5 linked regions of the Xenopus tropicalis genome follow. The protein of the gene in region 1 binds, or shares a complex with, the protein of each later gene. Links are inferred from orthologs where the notes say so. Each region holds a gene or a part of one and is shown in the gene's direction. Other genes may lie near its edges.

Evidence for each region.
Region 2: brd1 (region 1) and kat6a share a complex: the UniProt entries of both Homo sapiens proteins name them as parts of the MOZ/MORF complex. The link is inferred for Xenopus tropicalis from reciprocal best matches to the Homo sapiens genes BRD1 and KAT6A.
Region 3: the proteins of brd1 (region 1) and kat7 are in contact, whole or in part, in a crystal structure (PDB 5GK9), measured with the Homo sapiens proteins. The link is inferred for Xenopus tropicalis from reciprocal best matches to the Homo sapiens genes BRD1 and KAT7. Residues at the interface, in XP_047297239.1 of Homo sapiens: Val40, Ile42, Glu43, Ile44, His49, Arg50, Ile51, Ser52, Ile53, Phe54, Asp55, Pro56, Leu57, Glu58, Ile59, Ile60, Leu61; in NP_008998.1 of Homo sapiens: Leu531, Phe534, Gly536, Lys537, Glu538, Ile539, Ser540, Ile541, Lys542, Pro552, Val553, Val556, Gln560, Leu565, Tyr567, Lys571, His572, Leu573, Val574, Leu575, Lys576.
Region 4: brd1 (region 1) and meaf6 share a complex: the UniProt entries of both Homo sapiens proteins name them as parts of the MOZ/MORF complex. The link is inferred for Xenopus tropicalis from reciprocal best matches to the Homo sapiens genes BRD1 and MEAF6.
Region 5: brd1 (region 1) and ing5 share a complex: the UniProt entries of both Homo sapiens proteins name them as parts of the MOZ/MORF complex. The link is inferred for Xenopus tropicalis from reciprocal best matches to the Homo sapiens genes BRD1 and ING5.

What each region holds. Positions count from the first base shown.
Region 1 is NC_030679.2:72,521,108-72,526,861, forward strand, and holds part of brd1 (bromodomain-containing protein 1), read left to right. Parts: intron 1-801; coding exon 802-958; intron 959-1,339; coding exon 1,340-1,471; intron 1,472-3,040; coding exon 3,041-3,169; intron 3,170-4,198; coding exon 4,199-4,511; intron 4,512-5,568; coding exon 5,569-5,754. UniProt on the Homo sapiens protein: Scaffold subunit of various histone acetyltransferase (HAT) complexes, such as the MOZ/MORF and HBO1 complexes, that acts as a regulator of hematopoiesis.
Region 2 is NC_030679.2:130,477,654-130,483,407, reverse strand, and holds part of kat6a (histone acetyltransferase KAT6A), read left to right. Parts: intron 1-829; coding exon 830-971; intron 972-1,459; coding exon 1,460-1,621; intron 1,622-3,304; coding exon 3,305-3,398; intron 3,399-3,725; coding exon 3,726-3,957; intron 3,958-4,095; coding exon 4,096-4,315; intron 4,316-4,934; coding exon 4,935-5,465; intron 5,466-5,754. UniProt on the Homo sapiens protein: Histone acetyltransferase that acetylates lysine residues in histone H3 and histone H4 (in vitro). Component of the MOZ/MORF complex which has a histone H3 acetyltransferase activity. May act as a transcriptional coactivator for RUNX1 and RUNX2.
Region 3 is NC_030686.2:14,503,679-14,510,230, forward strand, and holds the start of kat7 (histone acetyltransferase KAT7), read left to right. Parts: upstream 1-2,288; 5' UTR 2,289-2,404; intron 2,405-6,552. UniProt on the Homo sapiens protein: Catalytic subunit of histone acetyltransferase HBO1 complexes, which specifically mediate acetylation of histone H3 at 'Lys-14' (H3K14ac), thereby regulating various processes, such as gene transcription, protein ubiquitination, immune regulation, stem cell pluripotent and self-renewal maintenance and embryonic development.
Region 4 is NC_030678.2:86,131,392-86,137,145, reverse strand, and holds part of meaf6 (chromatin modification-related protein MEAF6), read left to right. Parts: intron 1-2,179; coding exon 2,180-2,295; intron 2,296-2,787; coding exon 2,788-2,875; intron 2,876-3,716; coding exon 3,717-3,762; intron 3,763-4,156; coding exon 4,157-4,349; intron 4,350-5,754.
Region 5 is NC_030681.2:125,708,908-125,714,661, reverse strand, and holds part of ing5 (inhibitor of growth protein 5), read left to right. Parts: intron 1-1,252; coding exon 1,253-1,419; intron 1,420-1,530; coding exon 1,531-1,642; intron 1,643-2,523; coding exon 2,524-2,611; intron 2,612-3,410; coding exon 3,411-3,546; intron 3,547-4,203; coding exon 4,204-4,265; intron 4,266-5,754. UniProt on the Homo sapiens protein: Component of the HBO1 complex, which specifically mediates acetylation of histone H3 at 'Lys-14' (H3K14ac) and, to a lower extent, acetylation of histone H4. Component of the MOZ/MORF complex which has a histone H3 acetyltransferase activity.

The sequences.
Region 1 (5,754 bases):
AGGGTAATGTCCTACATGGAGATTAGTTGCCCACGATAAATCCCTGCTACCACAGGCAATTAATCTCCCTAAAAAGCCCTTCCACCAGCAATAAGGGCTGTGACACATGGGTAGATTAGTCGGCGCGTAACAAATCTAAGTTGCAGCGACTAATCTCCCCGAAATGCTATCCCACCGGCGAGATTAGTTGCTGTGCGACAAAGCTCCCTTGTCACAGGCGATTAATCCCACCTGCTAGAATGTAAATCGCCAGTGGGATTCCATATGCCGAAATCGTTGAAGTTTCCTCTCAAGGCAAATCACGGCCCTGCGTATGCCATCCCACCGGCAATTTACATTCTAGCCGGTGGGATTGCATTTCGGGGAGATTAATCGCCTGCGACAAGGGAGATTTGTCGCACAGCAACTAATCTCCCCGTGTGTCACAGCCCTAAAGGGAATCGCCGGTGGACTGGTTGCTGACTGGTTACTATTAGCAACTGCAATTTAGCACCTATGTTTATAAACCAGCATTCGGCTATTTTGGCCAAAAATATTCTAAAATACTCTATTCCTGTTTGCATTCAATTATGGGACCCCATGTTAATCATTGTAAAATTAAGGCAAGAAATACTGTATTGCTTTTGACATTAACAAAACAGTTACACCCTTTAGCTTACCTTGGAAATGATCTATAATGAAAGTCCTTCTCCAGGACATTGTGATTTCAGTGGCAGTGTATGTCTAAAGAAAGGCCACAATAGTTATTTTACTGTAAATTCTACTAATATATGTAATTCTTTTTTTTTTTTTTATATATAGAGTAAATAAAATCATAAATCAAGTGTCTATTCCGAGGAAGAAGCAGTTCATTGAAAGAGTTCACAGTTACTGGATGTTAAAAAGGCTTTCAAGAAATGGCATTCCCTTGTTGAGGAGGCTCCAGTCAAGTTTACAGTCACAAAGGAATATACAAGAGGTATGGACCCCCAATACATGATAAAGTTTTGCAATATCTGTAACTGCAGTTAAATTTAACTTGGCAAAAAAAATTCAAGATAGGGCTCATTCAATACACTAGAAATTGTAGCCGGTGCTTTCAAACTTTTTATGTACCACTATTTAATTTCAGCATCCATATGCAATCTACAGCAGTTAAATACATACATGCAAACCCAAAGCTGACTTTACGTTTACTAAAATACATTTAATTAGATTTAGAGATAACACTGATTAGGTAGAACAATCAGCACATGCCAAACCCCCTTTTGTATTTCTTTCTGGCTGCTTTTCGTACACTAGATATTGTCTCAATCAGTAGGATACATTTTTTTTTTTTTTTTTTTAAATAACTTTTTAGAGTGAAGATGATGAGGAAGTGCAGGCCCTGAAGAAGAAATTGAAGTACTTGCAGCGTTTAAGACATGACCTTGAAAGGGCTCGATTGTTGATTGAACTTATCCGAAAACGTGAAAAACTAAAGCGTGAACAGGTATGTTGTTGCTTTTTTTTATCAGAATATTTTTGTTTTTCCTCTTGCCAGATAGCTACTTGGTGGGTGGCTCTGTGAGAAAATAAATTAAGTAACATTTAATATATACTTGATTTTTGTTTTGTCTTTTTTTATGGATAGATGTAACGATATAATATTGAAATCATAACGGACCTGCAAATGCAGATGTCAGACTGTTTATTGCAGGTGTAAGGGACTAGTACAGGTATAGGATCCTTTATCTGTAAACCCATTATCCAAAAAGCTCCAAATTCATTGAAGGCTTGCTCCCACAGAGTCCATTTTAGGCAAATAATTCTAATTTTTAAAAATTATTTACTTTTTCTGTGTAATAATAAAGCAGTAACATGTACTTGTATCTTTACAAAGCTACAAGAATCCACATTAATGGCAAAACATCTCTTTTGGGGTTACTTAATGCTTAAATGTTTCTAGTAGACTACCATATGTAAGAAAAGGCACAAAGTTTACCAAGGAGCAGTAACCCATAACAAAAATAAGATGTTTGCTTTTAAATAGGTGACCAGTAAATGCTACCTGCTGACATACCCCCCCCCCCCTTAAGTTATGGAAATTACAGAAATCTCCCTTTTTGGAAAACTTGGGTTCCGGGCATTCATATAAATGTACTATAAATGTAATATGATGCTTAATATGTATGTTGCTCAAAGGCTTCATAGACCTCTGTGCACAGTATTATTATTTTACTATATATCAACTTTTGGACATGTATGACAAGTGGCCCCTTACATGTAAAAGGTTTAACTGCTTACTCTTTCTCAAATTGTTTGTGCATCCTGTAATATATAAATCTTTTTTTTTTTTTTTTTTTTTTTTTTTTTTTGACGACGACGACTTTCAATCTTTAACAGTACAGGTATGGGATCCTTTATCCGGAATCCCAGAAAGTTCTGAATTGCGTACAGGCCATCTCCCATAGACTCCATTATAAGCAAATAATTCTAAATTTTAAAAATGATTTCCCTTTTCTCTGTAACAATAAAACAATACCTACTAAGGAATTATTAATCCTTACTGGGGGCAAAACAATCCTATTGGGTTTATTCAATATTTAAATGATTTTTAGCAGACTTAAGTTATGTAGATCCAAATTATGGAAAGATCTCTTATCTGGAAAACCCTAGGTCATAAACATTCTGGATAGCAGGTCCCATACCGGTACCATAATCCTCTCTCTCCTTTTCAGAAACCCCTTTATCTTGGTTGTGTGTGACAATCCCACCTGTTAGCTCATAACAACAAGATTAGAGATGCAAAACACTCAACCCAAATATCATCCTTATTGTCTTTTGAGGTTGGCCATCACGAAGACTATGCTGCATATGCCCATGGAAGTCTATCCTACAGTCTCCTTTTAACTACCACATATTCTAGATTGTAGATAGAGAGAAATCAAAAGGTGCTTGCACTTAAATTCCCTTATAGGTTACATTAAGCAAAGGAAATAGTAACATCACATAACTTGGACAGTGTTATTTATTTTGTTAATATTATATGAATAACTCTTATTTAAAATCTGTTCACTAGGTTAAAGTTGAGCAAGTTGCTATGGAACTTAAACTGACTCCACTCACTGTATTGCTACGATCCCTTCTTGAACAGCTACAGGAAAAGGATCCAGCTCGCATATTTGCTCATCCTGTTAACCTTACAGAGGTGAGTATTTTTAATTTGTTATGCGCAATTAAGGTGCTCATAAATAGTTTATTTGTGTTAATGGTAGGCTATCAAGTTTAACCCCATCTTAGGCAAAATGGCAGTAGACCATCAAGTTTAACCCCTCCAAATTATTCCCAGAGTTAAGATATAAAAACATTTAATTTGTAGATCTTGAGATTACTGTAGCCTGGATATAATGTCTGTCTAAAAAATATTCATAAATGGAATCTGCTTTACAATGTAGCCCTTAAGAGTGGTGATCCTCCACAATACCTTAAAAGCGATATTGGAAAGGACTGCTACGGTACCATTGGTCATAGATGTACGGGCCTTTTCCATTGTAGACTTCTTCAGCTGGCAGCCCAAACAGTTGTAACGCATGAAGTGAAGAGGAGCTGGTTCATACACCCACCGACGTGTTGACAGGTTAAATATTCCCAAACTGGACAGATAATCTAAGATCCCACCCATAACCTGACATACCTTCCCAAGCAGCTTGCCAGTATGGTCAAATGGTCAAAACCCCAGACCAAATCTAGCCATGTTTGCCTAGCTTTAAGTCTTGTTTCTTTAAATCAGGGATCCCCAACCTTTTATACCCGTGAGCCACATTTAAATGGAAAGTGTTGAGGAGCAACACAAGCATGAAAAAGGTTCCTGGGTGTGGCAATAAGAGATATATTGGCTACTTAATATCCTCTATGTGGACTGGCAGCCTGCAGAAGGCTCTGTTTGGTATTATACTAGGTTTTTATGCAACCAAAGCTTGCCTCCTTACCAGAAATTAAAAAATGAGCACTTGCTTTGAGACTTCTGGGAGCAACATCCAAGGGTTTGGTGAGCAACATGTTGCTCATGAACGGCTGGTTGGAGAACACTGCTTTAAAGAATAACTGACTCGTTTTTTTAAGGAAACGATTAAGCTATAGGCTTTGATTTTGCTGTTATGCCACCTTCACTGTAACCTATGTAGGGCATCAACCTCTCTTAACAAACTAAGTAAGGGTTTTTTTTCCTGATATACAGGTTCCAGATTATTTGGACCATATAAAGCATCCTATGGATTTTTCTACTATGAAAAAACGGTTAGAAGATCAGAGATACAGAAATCTGAATGAATTTGAGGAAGATTTCAACCTTATTATTGAGAACTGTATGAAATACAATGCAAAGGATACCATTTTCTATAGAGCTGCAGTACGGTTAAGAGACCATGGAGGTGTTTTATTGAGGCAAGCTAGAAGGGAGGCTAATGTCATTGGCTTCGATGAGGAAACAGGGATGCATTTACCAGAACAACCAAAAATTGAAGCCCCACCACAATTTTCATGGGAGGATGGTAAGTCATTTAATTACCTTCCACCTTGTATACGGTCTTTGTATGTGTACGTATATTTATAATGAAAAAAATACTGTGCTTATTGAGTTTTTATTCAGATTCATTGACTGTGCCAGTTCAATATAGAGCCACTGTTTCAGTTACTGCTATGTAACCAGCATTTCTCATTATAAAGATAATAGTGGTGACCAGAATTAAGGTTCACTTGTTGAGTCCCTAGGCAGTTAGTAATAAAGTCAGCAGCTCTATAACTAAGATGCTGTTGATTACTTTCAGCTCAGATACTGCCCCTTAAGGTTAATTTAATTTTGCACAAAACTGCTTTCAGACATGTTAATATGCCTGCTTCTGTATGCAGCAAATTCCACAAAACTTGTAAAAGTTACATTAAGGGCGAGGTCACACGAAGCATATATCTACTTCTCTCAGCCCTGCGTTTTTCTACCATGCTGAAAGAAGCTTATCCACTTCCCTACGCTCCTCTGTGTGCCTGCATTAACTCCCACAATTGCGAGCACGCAGAGTGGATCGGAGGGCGGCATGAAAAACACGAAAGTGGATGTTTTCCAGGCCAACCTCCGATCCACTGCGTGCCCACACTTGGGCAGTTGCTGTTGTCTTTAAGGCAGTAGCACAGGGAAACTGATCTGCTTCTCTTAGCCTGGCAGAAAAACGCAGGGCTGAGAGAAGCATATATACACTTCGTGTGACCTTGCCCTAAGCTTTGTAGTGTGTCTGAACAAATCGGACCAGTGGTCTCTGATTATCATCTAAGCATTGCATTGCATGCTTGATAAAGGGGTGTGGCTCTGAAACCTTGTGCTTCCATGTTAAAACTGAATTGGGTAGGGTTCTGATTCTGTCACTAAGCACCGGACCTCACTGTCCCCGGAAAAGCAAGGGTGTGCACGAGCTTCCTCTTCGGTGGATTACCAGCAGTAGTTTGTACAAAAAAAATGGATGTAACAAATGTGTATGTCTTTATTAATAAATCAGGTGTTTTTAACAATTTAAAAGAGCTGCCCCAAATACAATCTTCATCTGTATCTCTTATTAGTTGATAAGCTGCTTAATCCTAATAACCGAGCACACATGGCTTTAGAAGAACAGCTAAAAGAGCTACTGGAAAAATTAGATTTGACTTTTGCAATGAAATCAAGTGGATCCAGAAGTAAACGGCTGAAGTTGCTAAAAAGAGAGATTGCCAATGTTCGTCAGATGCTGTCTCAACAGCATGTACAGC
Region 2 (5,754 bases), about 58 Mb from region 1:
AACCCACTTATTGTACAGCGCTGCGGAATATGTTGGCGCTTTATAAATAAATGTTAATATAATCTAATAGGTCAGTATGGGTTTGTGTATGTGAGTGGATAGATAGGTCAGTGGATAGATAGGTCAGTGTGGGTCTGTATGTGAGTGGATAGGTCAGTATGGGTTTGTCTGTGCTGGGTTTATTTGGAAGGGTTGAAATTGATGGACTCTTGTCTTTTTTTAACCCTATGTAACTATGTAGAATGTGCCCTATATTTCTTCAGCCCAATAACAGCAGCAAGATTTCAAGTATAGGTCTGGTTATTGCTCATAAACATGTGATGCCTTGATACTAAAGGCCCTATAGCATTGGGGGCCAGATTGACATGTTTTATGAGTCCAGTCTGCAAGAAAATCTGGGATAAACACAGAACTATGTATCTGCCACCTGCTGCAGTATAGCCCAGGCCTGGCTCACCCATGCACGTCCGTCCTGCTGCAGTGACACAATCGATTCACTCATGAATAGCCTATCCTGCTTGCGTCTATCTGCAGAGTAACACTGGTCCAATATTTTTTCCTCTTACTGCAGTGTCATTGTGACCCCCCCCCCCCCCCCCCCCACCGTCATATTAACCTGGCAACAGAAATCCCATATACCTGTGTCTGTCTTTGGTTTTCCCATATACATCCATATAATATTCAGTGTAATTATTGCACAAAGAAGCTATTTATCTTCCATGTAATGTAGTCTGATATATGGCAGTGGTACATTGTGCAGGGATATGGTAGCCTATTGCTGTGTTGTAAGCAGCGAGTGAATCCAACCTTATGTTTCCATCCTCTGCAGGCTTCCCAAGCTGTACTTGTGTGAGTTCTGTCTCCGATACATGAAAAGCCGCACAATGCTTCAGCAGCACACGAAGAAATGCAATTGGTTCCACCCACCTGCCAATGAGATTTACCGCAAGGACAACCTTTCCGTCTTTGAGGTACGTAGGTCACAGTGACAGTAGCGGCGCCACAGGAGCGCACACGGCTGTACCAATGTGTTACACTCCTGAGTGCTATCTGTTTCCCTGGCCCTCTTCCCTGTTCTTTTGCCAGTGATGCACAAAGTTTTCATGTAAGCGTTTCCTTGTGCATCTTGTACTTCATTGTTCTTTCTAGGACTTCTCTGTCCCGAGTGTCTGTGTCGGCACCAGCTTTCTTTCTGCTTGTCTTTGCATTTTGTCCGAAGCTCTTGTGTTTGCTGCTTCAGTCCTTCCTTTGTTCCGGGCTTTAATCATCCGCTTCCAGTACCTCACTGCATTGTTCTCTGGGCTTTGTTTGCTTCCTTTTATTCATCCTCCGTTTGGTACTGTGTCACCTTTATGCCAAAGCCACAAATGGGCAGAAATAAGGTGCGGGGGGGGGGGGGGGGAGAAAGAGGTGAAACTGCTCAGTATTGGATTATATGTTCCTATTAACATTTCTTTAGGTGGATGGAAAGGTGAGCACCATCTACTGCCAAAACCTCTGCCTTCTGGCCAAGCTCTTCCTCGACCACAAGACCCTCTATTATGACGTGGAGCCCTTTCTCTTCTATGTGCTGACCCAGAATGACTCGAAAGGCTGCCATCTTGTTGGATATTTCTCCAAGGTGAGGGAAAGGGGCTGTTTGCTGTGCACCTGTGTTTTTCTCACTAAGGAAGAACGTCCCCTGATTCAGCTTCTTCCCAAAGTAGGTTACGCGTAGTTCCAGCTACCTTCAAAGCCAGATGGCAAGCAAATGGATGAATAATGAGGAGCCCTGATACGATAGTGCTGTGGCAGTGTTCTTAAAGGGACCCCCTCACTTTAATTTTTCAAATTTTTTTTTTTTTTTTTTTTATGTTAATAGTTGATTGTATTCATATATGTTTAAAGGGGTGGTTCACCTTCAGATTAACTTTTATTATGTTATAAAATGGACAGTTCTTATCAACTTTTCAACTGTTCTTTATTTTTTAGTTAAATTATTTGCCACCTTCTAACCATTTTCAGCTTTCAAATTCCCAATGGCCCATAACATATAGCAACAGAGATAACACCCTGTTAAAATCCATGGAAAATGGCATTGTTGCAAAAGCTCTAGATAAGAAAATCAGCCTTCCCAGCACTCTTATCTCTCTCATCTAGATAATCAGCAATGCCCGGGAGATGGCTGCTTCAATAGGCTCCTTCGATTCTGGTTGTTTGGTGACCCTAGCATTTAGTAGCAAAGGTTCCACGTGCCAGGTTTCTGCGCTGCTAAGGAATGCAGGGTGGCGTGTCAGTGCCAGCAGTCGGAGATGACCCTGCTCTAATTGTACGGCAGATTCCAAGTCTATAGAATGACATGCCAGAAGCTCTACATCAGAGGCTTCCACGGGGTTCTAATGACTTGGTGAATGCAGAAAGCTGTGTCCTAGAGAATATGAAAGGCTTTAGGGCTCTTTAGTCAGGCTTCAGAATTCTAAATAAGGCTGGTTCCCAGGAGTTCTCTCTTTGTGGCTATAGCAGCATGAAGCTCATCTTTCATCCTTATAATCAGCAGTGAGCTGCAAGCTTCAGAGGGTTCGTGCCAGTGCTGATGACACCGGCCTGTAATCACCCGTCTGAAATCCCAGCGTAAAAATGTCTCTCATCTCCCACCCAAAAGTGACATTTTGTGGACTAATAGGGAATTTTGTTGCAATGCCTACATTCTGCACCCCATACGCAGCTGTGTTGCATGCAAGCAGTGGTCCATTACAGATCCATACAAGTCCATTACAAACTCCATGGATATACACTTAATTACAAATGCAGATTATTGTGCTCATGGTAAGTCGTAATGCAAGCAAGGGCTGGCCAATAGGCAAATGCAAGGTTAAAGAGAAATTGTACAACTGTGATTGGCATAAAATCCTCAGACTGCGCCCTCTGGTGGCCAGACTTGCTTAAACGTGCAAGAATTAGGTCCATTTCTTAGAGGGCCACAGAGTGCTCTTCCTGTTTAAGGTTGCTAGGGCAACTACCTTGTTTAAAATCTTGGTTGCTGATGAAAAAAAATGGAAAAACTTGAAACCCACAGCACAATATGCAGATCAGTTGCAGAGTCTATTGTGATACATATATAAAGGTGAATATTGCCTTTAAGAATGAGCAGCTTCTGCTTCAGCACCCTACTATGAGAAACCCTCCTACCCCCCTCCTCCTATAAAATAAAGCCTTCCCCACTAACCCGTTTATCCGGTCCATAGAAGCCATGTATGTGATTCTTGTATAATACTGGGCCTGATCCACGCTCTGATGCATCTTTGTGTTTCCCTTCCATCCCCAGGAGAAGCACTGCCAGCAGAAGTACAACGTGTCCTGCATCATGATTCTTCCACAGTACCAGAGAAAAGGATACGGCCGCTTCCTTATAGACTTCAGTAAGTAAGGGGGGGGAGGGGACATACTTGTTAACACTATATGGGAGCTGTTTGCTTAGATGTATTCCACTGCTTTAGAAGCGCTTTATGCAAACGTTACTCTCCATATGTCCCCTTCATTGACATCCAGGACTGGTTTCATAGAGTGTCTAGAAGTGCAGACATTCTCTCCAAATATTACCTGGCTTTTAGGCTGGATCCCTATCCAAGGCACTGTGCCCCGCTGGGGGAGAGCCCAAGCTCCCTGCATTACTGAAGGCATCGGCTTCTTACTGATGTATGATCCAATGTATAGTAATGCACAACACCTTTGCTATTTCCTCCTAGGTTACCTACTTTCTAAACGAGAGGGGCAAGCAGGATCCCCAGAAAAGCCACTTTCCGATCTGGGTCGGCTCTCTTACATGGCGTACTGGAAAAGTGTGGTACTTGAGTGTTTACATCACAACCGAGAGCACCAGCTAAGCATCAAAAGGCTCACCAAGCTGACTGGTATCTGCCCCCAGGACATTGCGGCCACGTTGCACCAACTACGTATGCTGGAACTTCGTGGAGACCGGTGAGCTCCTGCTGCTGCTGTTATACTTATTTGGGGCTTCCTTGTTGCTTCTTTTTCTTTAAATTCACTGGGGAATGTAATCCCCCACCCCTTACCAATGCGTTATATGCTTATCTGTTTGTCCTCTTCTTCGTACAGCGTTGTGTTGGTTCGTCGGGAACAACAAATTCAGACACACATGAGTCGTTTGCAGGCCCGGCCGCGGGAAGTAGAGGTGGATCCAGAAGCTTTGAGATGGACACCTGTTATTGTCACCAACTCTGTGGTCTCGGATGAAGAGGAAGCGGAATCTGAAGAAGAAGAGGATGAGGAGGAGGAGGAGGATGAAGAACAAAGAAGTCCTCTGAAAGACAACAGTGTGAGTATGGCAGACTGTGTAACCATACTGCTAGCCTGCTCTTCTGTTCTTAGTCTTGTTCAGTCACTTACCTGCTATACATTGAATGATGTGATATGAACGAAATCACTGATTTAGGCTCTGAGCTGGGCCTTCCCTTGGTAGCCATAGTCTAGCTCGGGGATCCCCAAACTTTATACATGTGAGCCACATTTAAATGGAAAAAGTGTTTGGGAGCAACACAAGCATTAAAAATGTACCTGGGGGTGCCAATGAGCTATAATTGCCTACTTATTAGCCCCTGTGTGGACTAGCAGCCTACAGAAGGCTCTTTTTGACATTATATTTGGTTTTTATGCAACCAAAACTTACCAGAAGTTCAAAAATAAGTAGATGCTTTGAGGCCACGGGGAGCAACATCCAAGGGGTTGGGAAGCAACATGCTATTCATGAGCCACTGGTTGGGGATCACTGGTCTAGCTCATACTTATTTTAAATAAACATACTTACCTTACAGTTTAATGTTAATGGGGAGGGAAGTAAAGTTTTATGTGTACAAATCAGAAACCTGGTTGTGTGAAATGAATAATGATAAAGCTGGAAACATTGCGGTTAATTATCTCCCTCCCTCCCTCCTTAGCAACAGGTTTTGAGAAGCATCTCAAGAGAGTTTGAAAGAGAAACCTGTCCTGTTTTGGAAAAGGAGAAGAGCCCACCTACGCTCCGTCCTTCCTCCCCAAACTCTCGTTTTCCGAACCCACGCCAATTGCAGGATTTGCTTCGGGATAGCTTGCCTGCCAATAGTCAGCCTCCCGGAAGAGGCCGAAGAGGGAGACGTGGGCGGCGGGGTAGAGGCTTTGGGTCTTCCAGTCGTGCTGCGGACCTTTTAAGACTGCTTGCCAGGGAACCCCCAGGGCCCCCTAGGCGAAATGGGGAGAGGGGCCGCTCTGGATCACGAAGGGGCAGGCTGAAGAGACTGGCTGATCCCATGCTCCGTAGAGACTTCTTAGAGCAACAGGAAAGGCTGGCTCAGCGCTTCGAAAGCGAACATCCACAGCTAAGGCGCTTCAGTGAAAGCAGTGAAGAGGAAGATGAAGATGAAGAAGAGGAGAATCACAGCCTGCGCTCTGATTCCCCACCCATCCTAACCAAGCCCACTCTCAAACGCAAGGTGGGACTTATTATGAAACCAAGAATTATGGCTAGAGTATAAATGTTTCTAATGGAAATATATCATTCATAATTAGGACTTAGCTTTCTAATTAAGGAAGATAAAGTAGGGGGGTGTACCGTTTTTAGTGCATTCCCTATTTTTATGTAGTGTTAAATTGTGTTTTTTACTCTCATTACGAATACATTTCCACAACTGTGATTTGGAAGTGACCTCACTGATGCAGTGCCATTAATGTGAATACAGCATTATAGTGTGTACCCAAAAGTCTGTGCAAACACACTCGGGC
Region 3 (6,552 bases), on another chromosome or scaffold:
AGAAACAACAGTAACAGCTGCAAATTAGATGATGGTATGAGTTTCCATGGAAATATGATAAAAAAAAAGCTACAGAAATGATAGTAAATGTTGGCCAGGGGATATGATGTCACCAGTAAGTTTGGATCATTATTTATTAAATACAATGAGTTGGGCTTGGGTGGGTTATTCAAAGGCAGGGGCTGGTTTGGGTAACTGGGTTGTTTTTTTTAATCCAAATCACTACTGTAGGGCTAACCAATGAGCCACCTACCATGCAAGAGACCATGAAGCAGCTGCCAATGGTTGTGGTCACCAATGGCACCAGGTCTGGACTGAAATTTAAATTGGGCCCTGGCATTTCAGCCCAAACAACCCCCCATAGGCCCAATAATGGTGACTATGGCATCTTTCAGCAGACCCTCTGGCATTTGCCAGAATCTACAGATTGCCTTAATGGAAACACGGTAAAGGTTGCCACAGCACTGGTAACAATGGTCATTGTGACTACTTATGTAAGTTACTGTGGTCATCACTGTGATATCTGCAACAGCAACAAGCGCCAGTTGCTATTCACCTCCTTGTTTTGTCACTGCAATTTTTTATATGTGACCCTTTCTTAAGGGTTTGATGGTGCACTTGCCCATAAGGGTATGCCCCACAGACCTAGGGGAGGACGGTGTGGCCATTAGGTTCCGGTCTCTCGATACAAAAGACAAGACTTCGGACTTTGAAGAAACCTTGGGGGTAGCGTTGGCCGACCCCAGGGGAAAGGCACTCTCCCTAGCCATGAAGCGAAGAAGAGTTCGAAGACCCTTGCCCTTTGGAGCCTTTTGGTCAGGGATTAAGCCCCCCCCCCAGCAAAGGAGGACTCGAAGACTCGTTTTTTCACCTGAGCCTTTTGGCCTGTGGGAATCGAGTATGGTGGCCTTGTCCATTTTAGGACTGGCTAGTTTGCACCCTTTGTGCACATGTGATTTTGCACTTAGGAACAGAAAGCATTGACCTCGGGATAAAAAATAAAAAAAAAAACAGTTATAATGGGGACATGTTATGCAGCAATTGCCCAGGCACCATGGTACAACCACTCTAAAACTTGCAAAGAAGAAAGTGTGTTGGGTAAAACCACACCGTTACACTGGCGACAGTTGCCAAGGAGCTTTTTTCTGAGGCACTATGGTGCTTGTTGCCTTGAGCCAAGAGTACCTATTGCCTTGTAATATTTTACTAAGAAATACCAGAAGTTGTCATTATTTTTTATTATTAATAAGAAAGAAAACATGATTATTTCACTTTAAAGATAATATAGGCTTCTGCGAGTGAGCTTCCATATTGGCAGCCAATATGCTAGAGATTGTAGTTATTATCATCTCCAACGTGCTATCCCAGGGATAAACAACATTGTTCCCACAGGAATTCAGTTTGCCCTGCCCCTCTCTTGCTCTAAGTTATGACTGCAGGGTTCTGTGAATCAATGGCTGGAAAAGACACCAACTATACAATAATATTGCGATATAAGAACATATAGTTCCGGCAGATATATGCGCATGGATACACAAGGAGCCAGTTGACTGCCTTTTGGTATAACGGGCTGAGCAGATCCATGTTCTGCGCATGCGCGGGGCTATTCCCACGGAGAGACAATAGCGAGTGAGAGGTGAGGAGGAGGGGCTCCGGGTGCGTACGCGATGCACAGGGCGAGAAACCTGACTCAAGGGGAGGGGCCGCGCCTGCGCGTCATTCTGCCGTTACCCGGAGACGGCGCAAGAAAAAGCCCGTTCTGCGCCAACCGCGAATTCGGTTGTGCTGGGCGGGATCAAAGGGAGAAGGGGGGAGCGCCAAGCGATGCCCCGGAGGAAGGTGAGATGCATGGGATAGGAAAATGGAAGCTGCGTATGGGGGTGGGCGTGTGCCCCTGGTGTGGCGTGGGCCTCTTCTGGACACTGCACTGGAAGAATGCTGCGTGTAGGCACTGGCTATTGTGCAGAGCATACGGCGCTATTTTTGCTTTGCCTGCAGCAGCCTCCATGTGAGAGATACAGTCAAACCAAGGCCTGTTGTGGGTTAACTCGTGAGAGGCGGCGATTGGATACTTGCGTTCCATCTTATGTTGTGGTTGGCTGAAATGTGCTCTGTGCAGCTGTGGATTGGACGCAGTTTATGTCTGTCAGGACTGGCGCCTCATTGATTCTCATGCGCGCCAATTACTTGCTGGTCCCGCCTTCCTCTCGTTACTGATTGGTTGAGGTGGTTTAATAGCAGTCGCTATTGTAGTATGTTGTTCCTGTCGGTGCCGCTATAGTCCGTCGTTGGATTGGTTTGTGCGATCACTGCAAGGTTTTCTATAGGCTGCCGATAATTAAGGGCGTGGTATAAACAAAGGAAGTAAGGAAGCAGTGTTGGAAAGCATGGAAACCTAATTGAGGTACATTCAGTGTTTTGCTTCAGCTGTTTGTATAACATGGAGTGTTACAGGTGTATATTCCCGTACAAGTACATCTGAGTATAATTTATTTCACAGAGAAATCATTTTCATTTTTCTGTTGCTCTCCATTTTGGAAACGGGCAGCTATGTGGTTAGGTTCCCATTTGCCTTACGAACCAGGGACTTGAGGCATGGATAGAAAGATACGTAGAATACAACTTCTTGCTGGGGTTAATGACCATTTTAAAAAGAATAGGGTTTTATCAGCTAATAGTTAATGCAAGGGTGAACTATCGCTTTAATACATCTGCATGCCTCATATTCGCTGAGATACAGAATACTCTGAGATATATGGAGAATGCTTTTAGCAAGTGGCTGTGATAAAATACTGAAAATCCCTTGCATTGAGCATGTTTGAGCAATAGAATTCATGCCTCCGCAGGCACAGGGCTAATCCAATGTTTATAATTAATGGCATATCCCTACTGAAAAGGTAATTTCACACAGGTGACACCATTACCCTTAGTAACATAGTAACATAGTAAGTTGGGTTGAAAAAAAGACATACGTCCATCACATTCAACCATAATGCCTATATATAACCTGCCTAACTACTAGTTGATCCAGAGGAAGGCAAAAACCCCATCTGAAGCCTCTCTAATTTGCCGCAGAGGGGAAAAAATTCCTTCCTGACTCCAAGATGGCAATCGGACCAGTCCCTGGATCAACTTGTACTAACAGCTATCTCCCATAACCCTGTATTCCCTCACTTGTACTGAGAGCTATCTCCCCTACCCCTGTATTCCCTCACTTGTACTGAGAGCTATCCCCCTACCCCTGTATTCCCTCACTTGTACTGAGAGCTATCTCCCATACCCCTGTTTTCCCTCACTTGTACTGAGAGCTATCTCCCTTACCCCTGTATTCACTCACTTGTACTGAGAGCTATCTCCCCTACCCCTGTATTCCCTCACTTGTACTGAGAGCTATCTCCCCTACCCCTGTATTCCCTCACTTGTACTGAGAGCTATCTCCCTTACCCCTGTATTCACTCACTTGTACTGAGAGCTATCTCCCCTACCCCTGTTTTCCCTCACTTGTACTGAGAGCTATCTCCCTTACCCCTGTATTCCCTCACTTGTACTGAGAGCTATCTCCCCTACCCCTGTATTCCCTCACTTGTACCGAGAGCTATCTCCCCTACCCCTGTATTCCCTCACTTGTACTGAGAGCTATCTCCCCTACCCCTGTATTCCCTCACTTGTACTGAGAGCTATCTCCCCTACCCCTGTATTCCCTCACTTGTACTGAGAGCTATCTCCCTTACCCCTGTATTCACTCACTTGTACTGAGAGCTATCTCCCCTACCCCTGTATTCCCTCACTTGTACTGAGCGCTATCTCCCATAATCCTGTATTCCCTCACTTGTACTGAGCGCTATCTCCCATAATCCTGTATTCCCTCACTTGTACTGAGAGCTATCTCCCCTACCCCTGTATTCCCTCACTTGTACCGAGAGCTATCTCCCCTACCCCTGTATTCCCTCACTTGTACTGAGAGCTATCTCCCCTACCCCTGTATTCCCTCACTTGTACCGAGAGCTATCTCCCCTACCCCTGTATTCCCTCACTTGTACTGAGAGCTATCTCCCCTACCCCTGTATTCCCTCACTTGTACTGAGAGCTATCTCCCCTACCCCTGTATTCCCTCACTTGTACTGAGAGCTATCTCCCCTACCCCTGTATTCCCTCACTTGTACTGAGAGCTATCTCCCTTACCCCTGTATTCACTCACTTGTACTGAGAGCTATCTCCCCTACCCCTGTATTCCCTCACTTGTACTGAGAGCTATCCCCCCTACCCCTGTATTCCCTCACTTGTACTGAGAGCTATCCCCCCTACCCCTGTATTCCCTCACTTGTACTGAGAGCTATCTCCCCTACCCCTGTATTCCCTCACTTGTACTGAGAGCTATCTCCCATAATCCTGTATTCCCTCACTTGTACTGAGAGCTATCCCCCCTAACCCTGTATTCCCTCACTTGTACTGAGAGCTATCCCCCCTAACCCTGTATTCCCTCACTTGTACTGAGAGCTATCTCCCATAATCCTGTATTCCCTCACTTGTACTGAGAGCTATCCCCCCTAACCCTGTATTCCCTCACTTGTACTGAGAGCTATCCCCCCTACCCCTGTATTCCCTCACTTGTACTGAGAGCTATCCCCCCTAACCCTGTATTCCCTCACTTGTACTGAGAGCTATCTCCCCTACACCTGTATTCCCTCACTTGTACTGAGAGCTATCCCCCCTACCCCTGTATTCCCTCACTTGTACTGAGAGCTATCCCCCCTAACCCTGTATTCCCTCACTTGTACTGAGAGCTATCCCCCCTAACCCTGTATTCCCTCACTTGTACTGAGAGCTATCCCCCCTAACCCTGTATTCCCTCACTTGTACTGAGAGCTATCTCCCCTACACCTGTATTCCCTCACTTGTACTGAGAGCTATCTCCCCTACCCCTGTATTCCCTCACTTGTACTGAGAGCTATCCCCCCTAACCCTGTATTCCCTCACTTGTACTGAGAGCTATCTCCCCTACCCCTGTATTCCCTCACTTGTACTGAGAGCTATCTCCCCTACACCTGTATTCCCTCACTTGTACTGAGAGCTATCTCCCCTACACCTGTATTCCCTCACTTGTACTGAGAGCTATCCCCCCTACCCCTGTATTCCCTCACTTGTACTGAGAGCTATCTCCCATACCCCTGTATTCCCTCACTTGTACTGAGAGCTATCTCCCATAATCCTGTATTCCCTCACTTGTACTGAGAGCTATCCCCCCTAACCCTGTATTCCCTCACTTGTACTGAGAGCTATCCCCCCTAACCCTGTATTCCCTCACTTGTACTGAGAGCTATCTCCCCTACACCTGTATTCCCTCACTTGTACTGAGAGCTATCTCCCCTACCCCTGTATTCCCTCACTTGTACTGAGAGCTATCCCCCCTACCCCTGTATTCCCTCACTTGTACTGAGAGCTATCTCCCATACCCCTGTATTCCCTCACTTGTACTGAGAGCTATCTCCCCTACCCCTGTATTCCCTCATTTGTACTGAGAGCTATCTCCCCTACCCCTGTATTCCCTCACTTGTACTGAGAGCTATCCCCCATACCCCTGTATTCCCTCACTTGTACTGAGAGCTATCTCCCCTACCCCTGTATTCCCTCACTTGTACTGAGAGCTATCTCCCATACCCCTGTTTTCCCTCACTTGTACTGAGAGCTATCTCCCTTACCCCTGTATTCACTCACTTGTACTGAGAGCTATCTCCCCTACCCCTGTATTCCCTCACTTGTACTGAGAGCTATCTCCCCTACCCCTGTATTCCCTCACTTGTACTGAGAGCTATCTCCCTTACCCCTGTATTCACTCACTTGTACTGAGAGCTATCTCCCCTACCCCTGTATTCCCTCACTTGTACTGAGAGCTATCTCCCATAATCCTGTATTCCCTCACTTGTACTGAGAGCTATCTCCCCTACCCCTGTATTCCCTCACTTGTACTGAGAGCTATCTCCCATACCCCTGTATTCCCTCACTTGTACTGAGAGCTATCTCCCATAATCCTGTATTCCCTCACTTGTACTGAGAGCTATCTCCCCTACCCCTGTATTCCCTCACTTGTACTGAGAGCTATCTCCCATAATCCTGTATTCCCTCACTTGTACTGAGAGCTATCTCCCCTACCCCTGTATTCCCTCACTTGCTAAGAATCCATCCAGCCCCTTCTTAAAGCTATATAATGTATCAGCCAGCACGACTGATTCGGGGAGGGAATCCCACAACTTCACAGCTCTCACTGTAAAAAATCCTTTCCGAATATTTAAATGGAACCTCCCTTCTTCTAAACGGAGTGGGTGCCCTCGTGTCCGTTGGAAGGACCTACTGGTAAATAAAACATTAGAGAGGTTATTATATGATCCCTTTATATATTTATACATACCGTATTTTTCGGACCATAAGACGCACCGGACCATAAGACGCACCAGTTTTTAGAGAAGGGAAATGAAGAAAAAAAGATTCTGAAACAAATACTGTCCTAAAATATTTTATGTGCATTAAAAGCGAACCTGTACCAGCAGCACCCAA
Region 4 (5,754 bases), on another chromosome or scaffold:
AGACAATATAGAAGGGGAATGTGATGCACATGAATGTAAGATGATGGCTGCAAGCTCTTCTCTTGAGGGAAATAACTTGACAGCAGTGGCAATGGAGGAATAATAAGTATGTTTTGATTTGGCAGAACAGGAGAATGGCGAGTTTTGTTTCAATAGGTTTTGTTCTCCTTTAAGGTCTGTGACAGACAGGGAGTTTAGTCATCGGGCGACTAAACTCCCCAAACTGCCATCCCACTGGTGAGAATGTAAATTGCCGGTGGGATGGCATACGCGGCGATTTGCCGAAGTCGCGGAAGTTGCCTTGACTTCCTCGACTTTGGCAAATCACTGCGCCACATATGCTATCTCACCGGTGGGATGGCATTTCAGGGAGCATAGTTGCCCATAACAAGGGAGATTTGTCGCAGGCGACTAATCTCCCCATCTGTCTGAGCCCTAAGGGTGAAGACACATGGAGCTACTAGTAGCAGCTACTTGTTGTGGCTACTAAAATAGACAATGCTGGAATAACCATAATTGCTCTGCAATGAGACTATTAACCCTCAAAAGTGTGCCAGAACTAGGGACCAAAGCAGGACAAAAAGCAGTTGACTTTAGCTTTTATGATGTCTGTGATTACTCGGTTTATGGTTTACTACCCAACACAGTTTGACAAGTAGCAAACGAAACAGCAGCTCTGTAAGCAGATGTTCCTTGGATTATTCATCAGTTTTATGGTTTTCAGGCGCCTTCCCCTGGACTTGCACAGTCAAGTCACCCACTTGTAAACCAGCCTGGAGCATTTAAATTTTCATGTAACATTGAGCAGAACAGAGGGCATGATTGGAGCCACACAAGGTGATAACGTTTATGACTTGGATGTAAGAGGGTGCGGTCAAAACCAGAAAACCACTTGAGGAGATAATGTCTATGTAAATTGTCACACAATTTGCGTAACTGGTGTGCTTTTGGAGTACTTTTCAAACTATGTTGTTGGAAAGCAAGAATGTCAAACAAATTTCTAACCAATTAATTATGTACTTGGCTAAGCAAACTTTTTGATTTAAGGATCCGTAAAAGTGTTACCCCATCAATGGACAGCAGTCATATGTCCCAACAGCTATCCTGGATGGGTCTTAATGCAGTGTTTTATCTTGGTGACTTCACAACTTGCTTTTAACTGAATGTTTCCCCATCATATAAAAAAAAACTGTGATTATTCACATAATTACGAATACAACACTGTTTTTCATGCAATATTGTTTCCATGTGCCATGATCCAAATATAGTAACTTTCAGTAGCGTAACTACAGAGAAAGCAGACCCTGTTTTTCTCTATAGCCACTCTTGTCCCAGGAAAGTTTGTGTGCACACTGCTGATAGTTTGCAGTGGGTGCGCAAATGTTCCTGGGACAAGAGCACGCACTTGAGAGCAACTTTTGACAACAGCAATTGAAAACACTGCTTTTTACTTTGTTGGGGTGAGCTGAATTTGAAAAGCACCATTATCCATTTTGTTGGCAGCATGTTCTATGTGGAAATTACCAAGGTTTTAATGCAGTGGTAAAGGTGGCATTTGGATCCCTGCCCCATATGCCACAAGTCAACTGACTCTGCTTCTAAGTCTCACAAATGCATCAGCATGTAATTGTATACTATATGGTACCAATATTTACGAATCATATGTTAAAATCAACACACCACCCATGTAAAACTGTTATGTGCTACGCTTCTGTTCAGTAAATTAGAACTGTATGGATCCTTATTACCCAATTACTGAGTGGGTGGGCATTTTATGCTGATACATGTGGTTGCCATTGAAACTACTTGAGTATCTGAGGTGATACATTAGAAGCAATTACAGTGTAATATCGGTCCCTTTAGCCTACTTGAGAAAGTCTAACCCCGTATGCAATAAAAGATGTAGCAGTTACCCATAGCAACCAATAAGATTAGAAGTGTGCTTTTAAACAGGTGACCAGTAAATTCTACCTGCTAATTGGTTGCTATGGTTTACTTCTCTTGGGCAAACTTAGTGCACTTTATTACATAACCCCCTAAATCTTTGACTTCTGTCACAATATGAATCATGTAACAGACCTGCAAATGTTTTTTAATCTGTGTATATACCAACTGTCCTAATATTGTGTCCATAAATATTTAGCATTTTTAAAAAGTTGTGATTTGTCTCTCTCCATAGGAGACACTTGCAAATTTAGAACGGCAGATCTATGCTTTTGAAGGGAGTTACTTGGAAGACACACAGATGTATGGTAACATTATCAGAGGTTGGGACCGTTACCTAACAAATCAAAAGTAAGTTTGGATTAGTAAGCTTCTGTTTTTGTTTAACCCTATATGCCCTTTGCTTTAGAAATTTGATGAAAAGATTAATACAACTTAATCTGATTCACTTACTGTTTAACAGACTACAGTAGTCCCCCAACCACAACTACATTTACTGCTATAACTCACTTTATTAAAGATCTGGGATTTATGGTCAATGCTTTAATATGCTTTTTTTTCCAGTTAATGTGCATTACAATTTATGCTGCAATATGAAGCAAAATATGAACTCCTGACAGTATTTAGAAAAAGAATGCATTGAAGTGCACTGTAGTTTAGAATGTTATTTGTTCCTTCTGAAACTGGCAATACATGTAATTTCATAAAATTTTGTCTATGAATATGAACAGTATGGTTGCCAATAATCATACACTATGGATACCTATGAGAAAGGGCTTGCTGGAGAATAGTGCCAAATATATTTTTATATGTGAATCTAGTAAACAAAATTTTCTATTGCAGGAATTCAAACAGTAAGAATGATAGGAGGAACAGAAAGTTCAAAGAAGCAGAACGACTTTTTAGCAAATCTTCCGTAACATCAGCTGCTGTAAGTACAATTTAAGAAAGCTTTCATGGTTAGTAATGAATGAACATTAAAGAATAAGTAAACCTTTTATTTTATAATCCCTAAAATGACTAGCTAGCTCCGCTGTGGTATTCTGCATCTGTAGGTCAGCTTTACAGAGACACTTTTCATTGAAATAGACTCAAAGGGGAGGGAGCAAGGATGGGGCTCATTGGAAGGCAGTGGATGGGGGGCTTTTGTCTAGGGGAGGTTTAGTTCTTCTTTAATGAAAAGCACAGTTTTCATACCACAGTCTTACTGCCACCACTGCATGGGTTTACAATTTGGCGCATTTCATTAATTACTAACAGGCAGATGGACAATGGTATTTTGTTTACTGTTGTTTTCTTCTGGATGGCATCACTAGACTAAACACTCCGTGTGCCATAGCCCTTAGAATGGCCAACTTATAAGGCCTGATTATGACCATCTTTTCATTTGCATGGTAATCTTGTTTTGGTAATTACAGTTTCAGTCTATGTACAGATTTTTTTAGGGCATAGCCACATCGAAAAACATTTTGGATCTCTGGGTTCTTGTACAGGTCATTTATGTAGAACTGTGCTGTCCAACTTATAATAAAAAGTGGACCAATTAGGTGGTAACCAGTAAGTTTGTGGACCAGATTATAATTCAATTATGACATAAAAAATCTGTGGGGTGCATATGTACGCCAGTGCCTTAAATTAATTTGGAATGCCACATTCAGGTGTTGAATCTCCAGTTAGACGAGTCCTTCTGTTCAACTTGCTCATATTATATTCTAAGCTGCTATAGAAAGTGCCTTATTGCTCTATAACAAATATTTGTGTTTACACTTTAGGCTGTCAGTGCATTGGCAGGTGTTCAAGACCAGCTGATTGAGAAACGTGAGTGTAATGTTTATATGTTTTTTTGCTTTGTATTTGTCTTCAAGTGAGATGAGAGCATAATTTAATGTGTCATGCATCTTTTATTGCTGATTTACTTTCAGATACTGTCTTGCGCAGGATCTCCACTATTCTTTCTTTTTGCCAAAACCTTCCTTATACTTACATCATACTCCAACATGCTCTGAAATGTTAAAGTAATCTTTGAGCTGTTATTTATCAGTATCATAAGACTTTAAAAAGGGTTTGTATATCATTACATTTTATGTTGGCAATGGTAGGTAGCCCATCTGTACCATGTATGCATTAGCTGCAGTTATAGAATTGTGTGTTTTCATTTTCGTGGATTTTTTTGACTGCATCTTATGCGGTCTTGCTCTGTTTTTTTTTTTAGGGGAGCCAGGCAGCGGAACAGAGAGCGACAACTCTCCAGATTTTCAGAACCAAGAAAATGAGCCTAGCCAAGATGATACAGAGGATTTAGATGGTTCCCTGTCTGGTGTTAAACCTCAAAAAGCAGCTTCTTCAGCCAATTCTGGTGGCCATCACAGCAGTCACAAGAAACGCAAGAATAAAAATAGGCACAGGTTGGCTGAAAAATTGCTTAGAACTGTAATTTGCTAAAACTGTATTTAAGGACACTATTTTTATTTTTTAATAAAAATGATTTAGAAGTTTTACTGTTTCAGCATGTAAGCTTTACCTTAGGCCTATATGATGGCAGCAAATTTAGGAATAGTTTTGTTCTGTTCCCTATGGAAATAGGCTACTTGCCCCATAGAAAAGTGAAACGGCTACAAATAGCTACTGTTCATCTGGCATGAGGTATACGTTGGTGGCAGTTGTCTCAGACTTGCAGAACACAGTGGTTTTTTTATTTACTATAGTCCTTTTATTGTGTTATAATACCTCTTCAAAAGAATTACTATACCCAATGCGGGTATAGTCATCTGAAAACAGATGAAAAGGGAATTCTATTATTGAAAAAACCTTGTTTTTCAAGTGCAATGTGATACCATAAAACTGGCAACATTGGTATTTTCTCTGCATTAAGCACAATTAATCATGGAAAGTTTATGGTGGTTGCTCAGTTTATTTAGATTGTGTCCATTTAGGGCTCTGGCACACGGGAAGATTAGTCGCCCGCAACAAAACTCCCTGTTCGTGGACGACTAATCTCCCTGAGTTGCCATCACCAGCCATCCCACCGGCAAAAATGTAAGTCGCTTGGTGGGATGGCACACGCGGTGGCGCGATTTCGGCAAATCGTCGAAAGCCTCGCGAAAATGTAAGTCGCCGGTGGGATGGCACATGCTGCGCAGGCGATTTCGGCAAATTGCCTGCGCAGCATGTGCCATCCCACCGGTGACTTACATTTTCGCCGGTGGGATGGCAATCCGGGGAGATTAGTCGCCCGCGAACAGGGAGTTTTGTCGCGGCGACTAATCTCCCCGTGTGCCAGAGCCCTTAGAGAGAATTGATGATTAGAGAAACATATCTGTTCCATTCCAAATTAATTTGCATGGACATCTCTAGCATCCAATCATCTATGCTTATGCAAAATGCATCTGTTTTAGCTTCCCTACTTCAAGAGAAACCCTGGTCATCAATAGGGAAAGCCAGAGAAAGCTTTACATTGATAGAGAGGGTTACTAATTCTTGTCGAACAGGACACTCCTTTTTCATCATATAGACCTGCTTATCTGTTCAGTGTGCTGCCCTGTCCGCATTAAACGTACTGCTTTTTCCAGAACCCAGTCCTTTTCTCTTTGTATTGCAGAGACAATTTTATGCTGCTGGCCAATCCCATAACAAGCAATGCCTAATTCTTGATTGCCATCTGCTATGTCCTACTTGTTAACTACAGTTCTTGCTATGCTACTGTGATTCAAATTGCCTGAATGTGAATAATCACATTCAGTAAGATGCAGGATTACCTGTGGATGACACTAGCGATTCTAAGCATTTTATCCTTGCAGTGTTTAGCAACCC
Region 5 (5,754 bases), on another chromosome or scaffold:
GTAGAATAAGATAAGTCAGAGGCAGTATACTCACAGGCAGTCAGCACTCGGCAGTCTCCAGTCTCGAGAGAAGACACCAAGATCACGGCAGGGTCACATGATTGACAACGCTTCTCAAAGTAAGGGAAAAGGAAAGGAGGAGGCTCTTTGTGAGACTGACGTCAGCCTTGCTCCTGCTTTGACTGACAGGCTTAACAGAGACAGTCGGGTTTGGCTCACAGTCGGGTCCTGGATCTTAAGAAGCGTTTATTAAGAAAACAAGCGCTTTCCATAGAAAATGGTCAACATGTGTAATAGGTCATTTTGGAGGTAGAATCATATAATCAAATGTTTTATTTTACTGCCAGTATCCCTTTAAGTAAGATCTGGAAAGTTAGGCACTGAGCTGGCACACTTCATTTGGTATATATTATTGTATTACAGAAAATGTAATATATTAGGGTAATTTTGAGTGTTGAATGCTGCCCTGTTTTCACTCATTGATGTGCCAGAAGAGCTAACATGCATCAGTGGAAGTTATATGTGGACTATAGTTTCTGTTGAGAAAATTTCTTGACTAGATCAGTCTTTGTGCATCTTTACACTTTATATTAACACCATCATTATCAGTGTTTGTGAGTGCTTATGGTTGTATTTACATAGGCCTTTCTGATAAAGCTTACTTAGTTTTTACCTTTCTTTCTCCTTTAAGGTCAAGGCACTTACTCTTTCTCTGCTGGCGTAGATATGCCAGCAAGGAAAGGGCAAGTCTCCTCCCTTTCACTTGGCCTTGTGTTCGCACTAACAGGCACAGAAACAGCCTGTCAGCATGCACATGAAGTGCCTACGCCACTGGGAAACCACTGTCATAAGCCAAACCACTCTGCTACATGTTACTCCACCAAAGTGATGCCTGATGTCCTTCTTGAGTTTTGCCAACTGCCGTTCCACTACATTTTCAGACAGATTTTGACCCAAGAAGGGACATTACATATTGTTTTGATATAAACACCTTATATTCTGACTGACAACACTTTATTTGCTAGCACTTGTTCATACTGCTCTGCCATTCTTTACAAGTACATTGCTGGCAATTCAGTAGTAGGCCAGACTGGGATTCACACCAAAAATGATGCAGGTGGGGTAGAACATTACTTTCACCAGACTCCTCTTATAGTATCTTTGTGTATTGAAACCATGTAATGGGCCAAAGGTTATTGGGAGGTTTAAGTTGCCTATTAACTATAGCTGTACCTTTTGCTTTTTTTAATAGATAAGAAGAAGGAGATTGATGCTTTAGCAAGCGAATATATTGCTAAGGTGCGGGACTACACCCCTGAGCAGAGAGTACAGCACCTTCAAAAAATTCAGTCTGCCTATAGCAAATGCAAAGAGTACAGTGATGATAAAGTGCAACTGGCCATGCAGACCTACGAAATGGTGAGCAGCAGTTTAATGAATCCATAAATAACAAATGCCATGCATGACTTTAATAATGTCATTTTTGTGTGTAGAAATTATTATTTTGAAATATATTTGTCTGTCTAATAGGTCGATAAACATATACGAAGGCTGGATGCTGATCTGGCCCGCTTTGAGGCTGATCTTAAAGAAAAACTGGAAGGGTCAGAGTTTGATAGTCCTGCAGGACGTGGAGTAAAGAGTGAGTTACAAAATGTTGTGTATAAAAAATCTCGCTAATCTTTTCCTTCAACATTTAAAAATCCCTGCAAGAAGACCCACTCTTGCTCATTCCTCCTTCTCCCTTTACATGGTGCACTATGAATAGAGGTCCACAGAAATACTCACAAGTGGGAGAATACTGTGGCTTCCTAGCATATTTATTTCTTACCAGTGACAGGCACATCCAATGAACCAAGTATATTGATCCAAGTATATTGTATTCTGTTTAATGCGCCCCATAACGACAATGCATGTCTAACCAAACCTTATAAATGTGTTATTTATATTGTACATCGCCACCACCCAATACGTTCCACTCCCTGTATCAGATGCTCTGCCTGCTTGCGTGTTTGGCTGGCAGCTGCCACTTCTATGTTCTTACTGAGCCGGAGTTAATAACACTGCGTGAGCGCAGCAGCACATGCCCCTGTGTGCAATTAACTTGTGTGCCAAACTTTACCTACATGTGAAAGGACTGTCTGAAGGTCAAAAGCTAAGGATTGCCTGAAATGTTACGCGCGTCACATCGGTTCTGTGCTGATCCCTTAATGGTGCAGCGGCGCGTCCCATAATGGTGCAACGCTATGGTGCGTATGATGCCTTGCGCGTGCGTCTGCAAGCCCGTCCACGGGGGGGGGGGGGGATTGCACGCAAGGAGCGCATTGCATCTGCGAATCCATAGGCAACTACCGTATATACTTGAGTATAAGCCGAGGGTTACTTTTTAAGCACATTTTTAGTGCTCAAAAACTCGGCTTATATTCGACTATATACGGTACTCTGGAAGATAAATAGCAGTACATCAAAATTGGAGAAACAAAATTATTCATCCTAAAAAAACATAACTTTTTTGTTTTAAAGAGAATAGAGGTCAAAAAGAAAAACGAGGGTCAAGAGGACGCAGAGTATCTGAAGAGGACACTGTAAAGAAAAAGAAAATGAAAGGAGGGTGAGGAATTGTATCAGTTTGTTACTGTTCTAGTAACAGCGTAGACTATGTGAGACCTCTTATAGTTTCCAGGTTGAATGCCACATACACAATTTTTTTTTGCACCCTTATCAAGCAGCTGTGGCTTTAAACAAAACATTTACATAGTAACTTCCACGTTAATTGTCCAAAATATTACATTTTTCAAAAAGGAATAGATTGTGTAATATCAATAGGGCCACCAAACTGTCCTGAATAAGGGCTAAAAAGTGGTATCTTCAACTGCTGCTCCCTTATTTTTTAATGTGACTGCAAGAGCTGTGGATTTAATGGGTGTTTAAATGCAAGGGTACAGCTGTGTAAGTGTGTGAGTTAGGCTGCTGACCACTTTAAAGGTGAAGTACATTTAACATTTTTATGTTTTAGAATTTCCCATCCATAGCAATTGTTCAATTGCTGCTCATTTTTATATATTTTTTAAGTTTGCCTTCCCCTTGTGTGTCCAGCTCTCAAAAGGGGGTCACTGACCCCAGCAGTCAACTATTGCCCTTTGAGGCTGCAATTATAATGTTACATTTAGGCCTTCTCCTTTTCATGTTTCAGTCTCTCATTCCAGCCATTGCCTGGTTGTTACTGTAAATAGATTGGACCTTGGTAGCCAAATATCTGCTGACAAAAAGCTAAATAATTCAGAAACCATGCAAAAAATGAAGAATAAATTGTCTCAGAATACATTTATAGTTTTTTTAATCTGAAGCTGTTTAATGGGTAATTTACATGACCTAACTCGCTGGCTTGCTGATATATTTGTATTTGCCAGGCCTGTATATGCTGATTCAGTCCTGTCTGTGACCCCTTCGGATGTCTTGGATATGCCAGTGGATCCCAATGAACCCACATACTGCCTTTGCCACCAGGTGTCCTATGGGGAAATGATTGGTTGTGACAATCCAGATGTAAGTAATAAGTTCAGAATATTGTATGGATACATCAGTGTCCTTGCCTGGAAGTGTGTACTGTATGATTGGATTTAGAGAATAATTCAAATCCAAAATGCAATATTTTGTCTATATTCTTAAAAATTAGCAATAGATTGTTCAGCAGTTTCAGCTGATCTGCCTTGCTACAATCTGAGGATTTATTCTGTAGTGTCTTCACTTTTGCAATAGGATAACATTCTCAGAAATAAATTTCTACACTTATTCAAGAAAAGTGCAAGTGGAAATACAGGTTACATCAATGTTTTAGCCTCAGGTTTAAAACTATACCAGCATAACTACTAGAAACTAAGGTAAATTAATGTTTCAACTGGTTGGAATGGAAAAAGTAAACCTTTCAGAATAGGTTTCTGCTTTGTTTAATAAAGACCTAAGGGCATGAGAGTTGCTACAGCTTACTGATTTTATTGCACATTGTATTCTTTTCTCCTTTATTTTTGCGGTTTCTTAAGACAGTCTAATGATTATGTAAAGTGAATGTGTTATAGCCAAAGCTTATATTGCATGTAAAAGCAAGGCGGTTAGAAGTACAGTTCTATTATCTAGGAAATAGGGTGTATGTTTTTTTCCAAGGCACCTAAATGTGTAATTACTTCCTAAATTATTTGCCCACAGTGTCCAATTGAATGGTTCCATTTTGCCTGTGTGGATCTGACCACTAAACCTAAAGGGAAATGGTAAGTATCTATTGTATCAACTGAATTTTTGTTAAAAATAGGAATGCACTGAATCCAGAATTTTTGGATTCTGATGAATGCTAAATCCTCTGCAAAAGTGGAGGAATCTGAACTATAATTTGCATATTTTAATGGAGAAAAATAGAAAATGACACCTGTGAACAAAGTTTGTAGCCATCAATTACCAAGAGTTTTAATGTCATATTAGAATGATGATAAGGGTTTCAGTTTTGTTCTGCTGAAGCTCTGAATCCTTAACTGAATCCTGAATTTAGTTCATTCCTTTCATTTCATTTTAATTTTCTTGATGCAAGGACAAATTTTATTTAAAAAAAATAAAAAAAAACATAGGAATTGCTCCCCAGTGCACCAAACATTTTTCATCTATTGATGCCACCGACTGATACAGCCCACTGTCTTGGGGACTGAAGCAATTCTCACACTGAGAGTGGTGCAGCCAGGCAGAACATTTCCTGGAGCCACTGTCTGCTGCTATTTCCAAATGCATGCAGTCATTTTAGCAAATTAAAGGTGTCCACTGAACTATGCAGCCATATCTGGTATAGGATGCAATATATGGACCAAAATTGAACTGTGTATACAAGTTCTAACTGATACTAGAAGTATAGAGCTTGTATGGCTGTGCTCAGTGGAGCAGCCTATCCACATGTGGCCTCAAAAGAATTTTGGCCTGTAATTTTAGTTTCTCTAACAGGTGTCTGTGGGACACAGGGACCATGGGGTATAGAAGGTACCAGCAGGAGGCAGGACACTAGAAGAGGAAGAAGAGAACTAACCCCTCCTCCCTGCTGCTATACCCCCCAGTACTTCCTGCCTTCACCAGTTTTTTTCTAGTGTCCCACAAGGAGACAGGATCATCACATCACTCTTCAAGTATTTCTTCGGCCAGACTCATCTGGCAACAGGGGTTGTCCTAGAGATCTCCAACAGGAGACACTCTTTTCAGGCTTCCCCCTACGTGGGAAAAGTAACGGACGCTGGGGCACGTAAGTTTTTACAAAAAACTAGCCCTGCAGATACCCTGCCTCTGAACACAGAGTGCAGAAGCTGCCCAGCGCTTCCCAGTGCCATGGCCTGGCTTAAAACTGCCTCTAACTCAGTAGCCCTGCTCCCTGCAGGCTACCCAGCCCGACCAACCCCCCCTCCCCCCTTTTTTTGTACTACTCTGCCTTCTCCATTGTAGCCATACTCCCAGCACAGTCCTTACTTAAACCGCTCCCCAGATCCCCCTTAATCAGTACTGCCTTATTCCTGCCTCTGCCTCCAGCCCTGCTCTCCTCTTACCATCCATCAATGCGGCTCCTCTGTCCCTTCGATTCCCTTGCGTTCGCCATGCGTTCCGCCATGCGTTCCACCATGCGTTCCACCTTGCGTTCCACCATGCGTTCCACCTATGCGTTCCACTTCCTGCTCGGCGCGACGTCAATAATCTTCGCGCCACTCTTCGCGCGCTTCTCCTGCACTGCGC